Linked DNA regions of Arabidopsis thaliana. The protein of the gene in region 1 interacts with the protein of each later gene in a pairwise test. Each region holds a gene or a part of one and is shown on either strand. Other genes may lie near its edges.

Evidence for each region.
Region 2: the proteins of BLT (region 1) and STI interact in a two-hybrid assay, tested with the Arabidopsis thaliana proteins (one study listed by BioGRID).

Annotation. Positions count from the first base shown.
Region 1 is NC_003070.9:24,035,806-24,039,816, reverse strand, and holds BLT (branchless trichome), read right to left. Parts: upstream 2,343-4,011; 5' UTR 2,147-2,342; coding exon 2,013-2,146; exon of another isoform or gene 1,765-2,012; coding exon 927-1,764; 3' UTR 640-926; downstream 1-639. Other genes in the region: AT1G64680 (beta-carotene isomerase D27), read right to left, coding at 2,755-2,804, 2,881-2,976, 3,057-3,163, 3,247-3,746. UniProt on the Arabidopsis thaliana protein: Acts as a key regulator of trichome branching. Could participate with STI in the same pathway. Also plays a role in integrating endoreplication levels with cell shape.
Region 2 is NC_003071.7:658,779-666,318, reverse strand, and holds STI (AAA-type ATPase family protein), read right to left. Parts: upstream 5,665-7,540; 5' UTR 5,456-5,664; intron 5,325-5,455; exon of another isoform or gene 5,314-5,324; 5' UTR 5,227-5,313; coding exon 3,169-5,226; intron 3,080-3,168; coding exon 2,860-3,079; intron 2,646-2,859; coding exon 2,088-2,645; intron 1,998-2,087; coding exon 1,376-1,997; intron 1,263-1,375; coding exon 1,178-1,262; intron 1,096-1,177; coding exon 982-1,095; 3' UTR 684-981; downstream 1-683. UniProt on the Arabidopsis thaliana protein: Acts as a key regulator of trichome branching through an endoreduplication-independent pathway.

The DNA.
Region 1 (4,011 bases):
TTCTAAATTTATTAGGTTTTAATTGAGTCATTTAACGTTTTTCTATTAACTAGTAAAATTGTTAAGTCAACGACAAGTTAAAAATTAAATTTGTGCACACGATAGTTGGCGAATAATTGTGTTAATTGCATATAGTTGGACAATAAAATGAGCTTCCTCTCTTCTAGTCTATTTTCACAATACACATTTTTATATACAAAATGACTATATCACCTTTTTTTAGTGAGACCAAATAATGTGAAGGTGAAATTTCTTCGTCAAAAATTATCCGCAAACGTGAAAATTTTACACTAAAATTTTCTGCAATTACTTAAAAAAAAATCTTGTTAAAATTCTTGTAAATCATTTATAAACTCTTATACAATTCTATTAAAACCTCTTGTAAATCTTTTTAAACCTCTTATAAAATCTTTGTAAATCCTTTAAATAACCCCTTATTTTTTAAAAATTCTTGAAAATCTTTTTTTAAACTCTTGTAAAACTTTTTATAAATCTTTTAAACCTCTTATAAATCCGTTGAAAACCATTTGTAAATCATTTTAAAATCTTATAGATCATTAAAATCTCTTGTAAATCGTTTCAAAACATTCATTCAATCTTTCAAAAACTTTTGTTAATTCTTTATAGATCCTTATAAGATCCTTCAAAACTATACCAGCGATAGAAGAAAGCTTTAGGTGCAGAAAACTATGTATATTTGTCTGATCTTGTCCGAGACGACTCAACATAACAAATTTGGATAATGGGATAATCATTTTCTTCCAATCCATCTTTAATAGACGTCAATATATATGCTATGTATAACACATCCATGTGAATAAAATATTATCTAACGGACAGACAAAGAGAATCTTATTAGTACATCTTCAGTCTTAGATGTGAATTATTGAGATTGAGCGAGGCGAACAAAAGACAAGCATACAGTATCAAGGAGGAGGAGAGGAGAGAAGAGGAGTACATCTTGGGGTGGTCTTTTGTCTGAGCAGAATTTTGAGCTGAACCTTTTGGCACTCCAGCTTTGAACCCCATTTCTCACTCTTTGATCTTATTGCTCTCATCACTCTTGGGAACGGATTGATTCCTCTCTTTATTTGCGGATTCTCGCACCTCCTCCTAGCCGGTGAGCTACACGCTCTCTCCAATATCTTAGGTTTCATCATCCTATTCCTCTCCCTCTCTCCTTGTCTATTAGCTTCCTCTAATTCAGATAGCTTCTCCTCCAAGAAAAGCCTTGCATCCATCAGCTTCATCTGAACTCTCTCTTCTCTCAAAACCTCTGCCAACCTGTGCATCTGTCTCTCTTCTTCAAGATCTCGTTTCATCCGAACCATCTCTGACTTCTCAGACGATAACTCTTTGAAGAGCCGCTTGTTTTGCATCTCCTCCGCTTCTCTAGCCATTCTCTCCTCCTCCACATCTTTAGCCAGCTTCTTGATCATCAGCTCTGCCCGTCTTCGAGCTTTTCTCTCATAGTCCAGTTCTGCCTTCAATTCCTTGATCTCGTCTTGAGCTTTTCCTAGTTCAGATTCCATGAACACCTTTATGAAATTCAGATCCCAAATAAATGCCTTGCGTTGGTGTTGATGCTGTTGAGACTGAGAAGAGCAGTAGTATGGATTTTCATAAAGCTTCCAGGGTTTGCAGACTGAGTCCATTGCATCTTCTCGTACACCGGTACTGTGAGGATCTGGAGTGGGGATTCTGGTCATCATCGTTTCAGGGCTGCTCTGCATCTTCATATCCTTCATCTTTTTGGTTGGCCTTCTATATTTGAGATAAAGGGAAAAAAAAGGGAAAAAGAAAGAAAAAAAGTAAGGGTTATTAAATATCACTTTAGAAGATGGAAGTGTGTTGTAAAGCTGAAAGAGTGAGTCATCACATGATTACCAGCTTCAATCATTCTTCCTCAGGACCTCGTCGTTAAAGAGTAAGGAAAAGTAGCAGAAACAAACAGATGGCGTCTAACTCTTAGGTAAACTAACAAATGCGATTAGAAGATATATGAAACTGACCTTTGTTGTAGTTTCATGACGATTGTTTGTTGGGCAGTGTATCTTTGAAAAGCCGACAACTTCTCTGTGCTTTCAATGAACCACCTCTCATTTTGTGTGTTCGTACACTTGGGGGTGTCAATTAATTGGCCCATTCAAACATTAATGCCTCATCTGTTCCACTTCTCCTAGCTATATGTCTCTCTATAAATTAAACTATGAACAGATTTTCTTTATCTAAACATTTACTCTGTTCTGTTCACTCCCTAGTCAGTTGGAGTTGCAGGAAACAAAACAAGGAACAGAATTCTTTTTTCTTTTTTTGTGTGTGCAAGTCAAATGAAAGTTAAGTCTTTCAGTGTGTATCAAAGCACCAAACCGCAAACTAAACATTCCATGAAAGTAAGTCGTTAAAGCAAAACTACAGTAAGTATCTGATATCCATATAAGCAGAGAGGGTTACTTTAAAGCTAAGCTAATCTCAGTTTTTGGTTTTATATTACAATACAAACTGCAAGTAACACTTGAGATCCAAGTTATAACCAACATGGCGAGTTCAAACTTAAAACATAAAGAAGATGAGTAAGCTCAAGTGTATTATCGTATACTTTACACAACCCAACCAGAATAGTAACAAAGAACACTAACTCGTCTTCACAACTGTCTTTTATATGTAATGTATGTGTTTGGAAAAGAAAAAAAGTATGTATATCGCTTGGAAATTGCACATCCCGTCAAAGAAGTGGCTGCTGATCCACTCCACTCATGCCTCTAGTTTAGGGCAGATTGGGGAGCTTGGATTCGACATAGAACCTGCAGGCAACATCATCACCATCATGTTAGATACATCTTGCATGCATGTATGCAATCTGAGCATTGTAAGACTTACATATATCTGCTAGACAAGGTTGCTTGGTGGCTACATCCTCCTCAAAGGCCGGAGGTGCTTGCCCGTATATCATCTCGCAGCTCATGTCTTCATAATCTACAAACCAAAATGGAGAGATGGCTAATGAAAACAAACACCAATGTATAAGGATGGTCAAAAGGAGATATGTTACATACTTGGGTTCATGGTGAGTGGGAGGCCAAACTCATTGGTGAAGAAATCTTGGGTTGGAATCTTGCACATATTCACACACATTCCTACACACCCACTGTTCTCCAGATACCTTCAATCAACAGTAGGAGCAAGTCTGTCACATTTTGAACAAGACAACTAGTAATAGTCATTTTGATGGAATTCACTTGTTACCTGCATTTCTTGATACGAACTCCACTTCTCTGTTTCACACCATTCACTTCCACTTCTATGACCTGAGATGGACCAACCAACCAGTGAAAGAAAGGCACTGTAAGAGCGGCATTGAACTCTGCAGCCCATTTCGTTGGTGGGAACAATTTCCTAAACTGTTCAGGAGCACCAGGAGGCAGCATAGAGAGAAGAACCTCCCTCACGGCCTCTTGCTGCTGCACTCTGGACCGTCCCTGCATCACTCTCTTTGACACCTCCACGAAGCTCTCGTAATCGTACTCCCAAAAACCCTTCTCCTTCGTGTCCTTCTTCTTCTTCGACCCGAACTTGTCCATCTTCCTCGCGAAGAGACCCATGAACACTCTCTCCACCAGCCCATCCTCGTATCTAGTCTTCAGCCCCATCGGAGCTGGCTCTCCGCTCGGCTCAGCAATTCCACATCGAGTGCTACGTCGCCTAAATGTGAGATTAACTGCTTGCAGACTAGCAATAGCCGCCATGGATAAGAAGATATCTCTCGCCCTCGTTGCTCTTCTTCCCTACCACCATCATCTCATACTCTGCTTTTACTGCATTAAGGGCCACACAAACGTGACCACAACCTTACCACTTACAAGTGTCCACTTTGTTTGCCTCTTAAACAAGTAAAGTTTTGGGTGGACTATATAAGCCCACACAAAAAACATTGGCCCGTTTCACTGAGGCCTATCTTTCATTGAGAATATTTTTTTCAAATATTTATTCAATTATTTAATATGTGTTAGA
Region 2 (7,540 bases), on another chromosome or scaffold:
TAGGTTGCTTATGTTGAATATTATATATAATAATATTCTATTTTCAACAGCTTAATATTATAAATTTATAATTTTATCACTACTATATCGTGATGATTCGTTAATTACTAAAATAAATCAAAAACAAAAACAAAATCTGAGACAGTTTGATCTCAGCTATTCTTTATCTAAATTTTAATTTTCCTAGTTTACATTATTAACTTGATTTACGTAAAACTGGAAGGTCCAAACCGATTTAAGGTTATATAACATAGAGTAATATAATATTTGTTGAAATTCCAAGTATTAAATAGTTTTGATTTTTTTTTTTTTAAAATATACTCCACTAAATTTTTGGATGATATATATAGAAAATAAATTACATAAAATATTATAAATATAAATATTTGTTCCAAAAAATATATTTATAAATATCAAAATTATAGTTTGTTTTCTTTTATAATTTATTCTCCGCGACAAACCCTTTGGTCTATTACATTTACTAACTTTTCAACTTTTCATCTCCCCGCTTAAGTTAGGTGAAACAAAACTTACATAACCTTTTTGTTCATTTTAAAATTTTAATATTTTTTAAGACTTGAAAAGAGTTTAACAATAGAAATTTTGATTTGTTTCAATAGTTTCAATATGTGTCATAAACCAAGTAAATATGAAACTAAAAATTACAATAACTGAAAAAGGTAAATCACAAATAATAAATATTATTTATTTTTCCAACAAATGCAACACAAAAAAATTGAAAAATATAAACTAATGTGCAAGGTTAACCAATTCGTCGATTATTTCACAGTAACATTTTTGAAGTTTTTATAAGATAGATAACAAAAATGGATAGGAACTTTACAGTGAATATATTAAAACTGTCCTTTGACATATCATTATCAAACATAATTAAGGGAAAACTATGTGGAAGTGGAAGAACAGATGATAAATTAGAGCTTGAGGGAACAATTTTGTTTTTCATGACTAAAGAACTTAGTTTCATCTTCTAATGTTACCTTCTGCTTTCCTTGGCTTAGCACATCCATTAAACAGAGAGAACCGACTCTTCCGATTTCTCCGCGAACGAACAGGAGTTCCCTTGACCTGTTTCGACTAATCAAATCCGCAAATGAAAAACAAATGAGACAAAGAAAACATCGAAAAGGAGGAACAGATTCGAGTTATTAGCACAAACCTTGCTTCGTCTCTGAGTCTTTTTTGTGTTCCAACAAAATAATATATTACAACCAACTCTTCCTGATCCTGATTCGTATCCTCCTCTACACAACCAAAGCCAAACATGACATCATTACGACAATACGTTGATTATAAAGATCTTATTTGTTTTTTCTTTTCGGTTTTGTATCGAAAAGGATCAGAGTGAGGAACTTACAGATTGTCTTTGTTGTTTCCGAAGTTAGTATCATGAAGTAAGCTTGGGGAAAGAGGACAATGCTGTCCTCTTGTACCGGTTAGATTCTCCTGAAGCTCACCATTGTCGCCGATTTTCAAAAGCTTAACTTCATTGTTTAGCTCATCTACCCATTGGTGAGTGGTTAGGCCAGAAGAAGAAATAGCAGAAGCTACGTTAGTTTGGCGATAAGTGTCTTCTTGAGGTAGAATCTGATTCCTTTCGGGTTTTACCCGTATTATCGATCCAGGTGTGTCTTTATCAGCGGTTTGTAACCAAGCGGTTTCTAATCTTTGTTCTCTGATGATTGATTCTATCCTTTGCATCGGGAGTTTTGATCTGCTTTCCACGCTGCTACCAACTTCAACATCTGTTTCGGCATTTAAACCAGCGATGTTATTTAGATGCCCACTTTTGTTGGTCATTTCTGGTTTCCGGGTTTGGTGAGGGACAACGAGTAACTCGGTTTCAGGCAAGAGAATTATCCTGACCTCTACGCTTCGCCTTAGTACCATTTCAATCGAGTTTGTGATACTGCTTAGAAACCTTTCAGCTCTCAGTTTGATATCGTTTTCTCCAAACGCGATATAAGCAACGAGAATACCTGCAAATCATGTCATGTTCATTTTATTAGAATCTTTGGAAAGGAGAAAACCAAAAAAGTGAGAAAAGAAGAAACTTTTAGGCTTTTTACCCTCAACTTCACTGATAGATATAAGTTTCCCATGAGTATAGAGCAGCTGCCTCAGTGTCTTTGAGTGACATCTTTCAATACATTTTCTCCATATATCGTTAAGTTTCTCTGAACTTCTTTGATTAAGCATCATGGTGCTTGCGATGCTATTTTCATGTGAGGCAATGGAACCTTCGCTCTCTATCATTTGGCTAGATGAGGAGGATTTATAGCAGTTATTATCGATAACCCTGGAGAATGGTTTCGCTTCATGGGAATGATTCCCGTTCCTTTTTATAACCGAAGCTGGAGATGCCGACTTACTAAAGTGAAGTCCTCCTATTCTCTGTTTGTAAGCCATCACTTCCCTTGAAACGCTTGCTGGGTCATCGTCAGTTGCTCTAGAGCTTTGCCTTCTACTACTGCCTGTATGTGTGGTGCCAGGAGAAGGCATTGACCCAAGCTGAAGCAAAGTCGCTGTGAACCATGTTGAACGGTCATTAGAAACTCTCAGCTGCTTCTCAGCCTCAGAAAGAAGTTTCAAAGCATGCTTTAATCCCTCCATATCTGCTTCAGTCACTACAAAAACGAAGCAAGAATTTTCGAAAATCAAACCAAGTGGTTTATGACTCATCGTAGGGAGTAAAATTGCTCTTACAGGATATATTAGCTTAAGGGTGTTAGAAAATATGAAACGGGCAATGATCTCAACAAGCTACCAGATCATAACGCCTCACTAAACTACTTTTTTAGCACATATGACCAATATGTAAATACTTTGCTGGGAACTCACAGTTTCTTCCGTCAAAGAAGGCGTTGCTGTATTTTTCATCTACGACCTTGTATGTACCAGCAATGATATCCATAATAAGACTGGCGAGTTGAGACATCAAGACTATTGGGTCAGCTCCAAGGTCCAACAACTCTCTAGCTCGCTTAACAGTCTCTGCTGTGTCAGAAGACAATGCTAATTCCAAGAGTTCCAACAATTTTTCATCTGAAACAACACCAACCTGAACAAACACATAATGCCACATTTTTAACTTTAATAAATTTTACTTTTTTTCAGTGCACAGTTACAGAAAGAACTAGAAAAACTTACTAGCTCGTTTACTAAAGCTGTGGTGATGCGTTTTCCCAGCAAACTCAGCTGCTCCAACATAGTTTCAGCATCTCGAAGTGAGCCATCCGCGTTCATAGCAATCAGGTCCAACGCATGCAAGTCTACATCAAGATTTTCGTCTGAAGCAATTTTCTTTAGTCTCACTACTATGTCAGAATCTTTGAGTTTGTCAAAGAGAAACTTCTGGCACCTTGACTGAATGGTCCGGGGAACATTTTCAAGGTCAGTAGTTATAAATATGAAGACAACTTTCTGCAGAGGGTTTTCAAGAAACTTAAGAAAAGACAGCCACGTCTTCGATGGCAGCAAATGACACTCGTCTATCACAAAAACCTTGTACATTGAGGAATTTCGTGGAAGTATCGTCGGTAGGTTTTTTAAAAGGTACCTAACCTTATCAGCTCCCTTCTTATTAGCTCCATCAAGTTCCCAAAAATCCTTACTTTTCCCAGACATGAAATCATTGCACTCTTTACAGTACCCACAAGGCTTCATTTCTTCAGTGGCCACACAATTCAGGGCGGCTGAAAAAATCCTTGCGGTTGATGTTTTACCAGTTCCTCTAGGACCCTGGAAAAGATAAACAGGAGCGATCCTACTCCTTTTAACAGCGTTCATTAACGATTGAACCACTATACTTTGTCCAATCAATTCCTCAAAAAACATTGGTCTGTACTTTTGGCTGAAGCTTCGGATTGTTTCCGGTGTACTTCCTTCTTCTTCTTCTCCATCTAACGCTACAGCCTCCAAACCATCTTGACTCCTATAACTAGTAGACCACCTCCTCCCGTCTAATCTACTCTGAGCCTCTAAATCAAGCTCTCCATAATTGGTAGAAAGCTCATCATCACTAAGCCCGGTTCCTAAAGAAGACCCTCCTCTACCATCACCACCGTAACTGAGTAAAGGTAAAACACCTTGTGCACTTCTACAAGCAATTTTTTGTTTACTATACCCTCCAGAAGAATGTCTATTATGTCTACGATACACAGATTGACTCCCACACAAAATGCTACTTCCGGTTCTTCTCAAAGTATCCGAAAACGATGGAGAGCAACAACTTCTGCATCCGCCTCTATGTTTCATCGCCTTCTTCGTCCAATAACACGGAATACCACATCCTTGCCTCCCTGGTAAATCCAAGTTATCATCCAACTCATCATCACCATCATTCACCGAAGTCGTGGTACCATCCCAAGATCCAACAGTGCTGGGATTACGAACAGCATACATATTGTACGAACTAGTGGATAAAGCCGGTGTACTATTATAAGTACATGAAGAATCCTCTTTTCTATTATTAGCTCTCAACAATCTTGACGAAGAACGTGACCAGTTCTTCTGCTTAAGCTTCAAAAGCAAAGGAGACGCACCAGTGACCTTCCTCAAATCCTCTGAATTACTCAATTCCTCCTCTGTGTCATCTGATCCAGCATTACAATTTCTAGCAACAATGTCATCTCTAGGTTGATACTTTGACAAACAATCCAAACGAGAAGAGCTAATTTTTTTCTTACTCTTCTTCTTACAACTACCAACATTACTCTTCCTCATCTTTGACACACCTTGTGACGCTAGATTCGTATCTCTACACCTAAAACCCATCGAAGCTGATTGTATTTCTCTACGATACGAATCACCACCATTCCTCGCATCACTCACATCATCATCATCATTAACACTAGCTTGCGTCCACGAAGAAGCATCTTCTTCTTCTTCCTCTTCTTCCTTACCATTCTTAGCTAATCCACTTTTCTCACTAGAAGATTTCTGAGTCTTCCAGTTATACAAAAACACCTTCTTCTCTTTCCCACGACGATTAGTACTACTCTCTCCTCGAATCGGAAACTGACTCGAACTGCCACCGTTTCTGCTCGCCGGAGTCTCCAAAAGCGCGACGGATCTTGACGAATCGAGAGGAGATTTCCAGGAGGAAGTAGTACCTGGATCGCGTAAAACACGGCCAGCTTTTCTGATTTGAGTCAGCTCCTTCTTCAGATGCAATTTACTCAGATCCGAAACTCTCGAACCTGACATTTTTTCTTCTTCCTAAATTTGAATCAGCTTCCTTCGATTTCTTCCTTCTCCTCTCTCAGCTTCGCGTTTTCACTGACATTTCAAAACCTGTGCAATACCTAATCAGAACAACGCAGTGGAAACAATGAAAGTGAAGAAAAACAGAAGAATGTAAAACTGTAGATCCAAGATAAAACGAAGGAATCGTGGAAACAGCACGAAACACTAAGAAGAAAATAATAATATATACTTGTTTGTTCTTCGAGAGTTCGCCGGAACTAAGGTCTAGGGATTATAATACATCGCCGGAAGTGGAACAGAGAATGATGAATCTCGAGTTCTGAAACTTGATAGTCGCCTGCGACTGCGAGAGAACGCATGAAGGAAAGCGAGAGACACTATTATTTTCTATTTTTAAATTTCCATTATTTTTAATTATTTTAATGGGTTTTTTTAAATTCACATTTGTTTGTTCGGGTCTCGTCAAAGCCCCTCCTTGTCTAGTGTTTTCGTGTCTCGTCACACTTAGTTTTTTCTTTCTTTTTTTCTCAAAAAAATACTAACAAATTTAGTCAAAAAAATAAAATAAACATCATGATGAATACTAATAGAGAAAAGATTAGTGAATTATCAATGGGAATATTTGTATATGGTAGAATAGAATGCTTACCTTAATGAAAAGAACTATACATTAAGGTAATTCTTTGCAGACTTATAGACGTTACATCTCTATTTCGTAAGGAAGTGTATTTTTTTTGTTGAACAAATTTTACATTATCAGGAATAAAGAAAAAAGGACAGACATTATGTGATAACTATATTTATTAATTTCACAAAACAAAATAACTATATTTCTTATTTTGCAAAAAAAAAAATATAACTATCTTTATTATAGGAATAATGTTGAATTTTATACTGTTTTTCTTTTCTTAATAGTTTGGTATGGAAATGAACATTTAAGATTATCATTACTATGAGAATAAATAGTGTTGTTGAATATTAGTTCATATGTAGATATGTATTGTTAGAGATGTCAAAATGGATAAACTCATTCAAACCAATCCATAATCCAAGTTTAGGCTGAAATGGTTTATGAGTTGATTCAATTCATTTGTTGAACGGATTGAGTCAATTCATTAATCCAATTATTTGATGGTTTAATGGTTAAATGAGTTGATTCCTGAAAATAAAATAATTAATTAATTAAATAGAATAATTAATCAATAATTATTACCATTGAATAATATTTAGTGACATAAATAGTTATGATTAATATCATATTTTTAGTGGAAAAACCACGGAATCATGTTTTCGTGGAAAAATATGAAATCATGTTTTATTAAAACAAATGTGAAATCGTATTTGGCAGAAAAATGTTGAATCGCATTTTGGAGGATATTATATTGTGTTGGTGAATACTTACATTCGTGTTTTCAACATGTGCGTTATGTTTAAATATGTTACTTTATTAATGCCATAATATATTTTTATCGAGTTTATATCTTCAAATTTAGATGTAAACTTAAAAGAACATTTGCAAAAAAAAAAGTGATTTGTCTAAATATCGTATAATGATATAATTATTTTAAAATCCGATCTTCACTATATCACTACAATTCTACAATTCTCACTTTTTCGTTTAAAAAAAATAAAAAAAAATTGGTCGTATTTTTCAGATTTGAAATATCAGTATATTGAGTTCTGCAAAAGGAAAAAAAAAAAAAAAAGTTTGATGCATCATCTGATCATCAGTGAAAATATTTTTTTATAGTAGAATATAAAGATTTATTGTAGAATATAAAGATTACCATTTCAAAGCTTCTCAAATTCTTTTCATATTCATAAAAGGAAGTTTTTTGGTTGTTGAATAAATTTACAGTACAATAAATAAAAAAGAATATACATTATGTTATAACTATATTTAATATAATGTTGACTTTTATGATGTTATCTTTAAAAAAATAGTTACTGTGTGAAAATAAATGTTTATGATTATCATACTTTGCTACGATAATAAAGTAGTGTTGTTGAATATTAGTTCTTATCACGATATAGTGTTGTTGCATACTTATTTACGTATTTTCAACATGTGGCTTTTGTTTATATACTGTATGTTACCTAACTGATGCCATAATATATTTTTATTGATCTTATGTTATCAATGTACCCTAAAAAGAAAATTGGCAAAAAATGAAAATTTTGAGTGTCATACAATGATAACACAATTATTTTTTAAACGCTATATTCAGATATATGTATATGACTACAGTTCTGGCTTTTTTCCGTTCAAAAAAAATAATAAATATATATATATATATATATAATAATAATAATT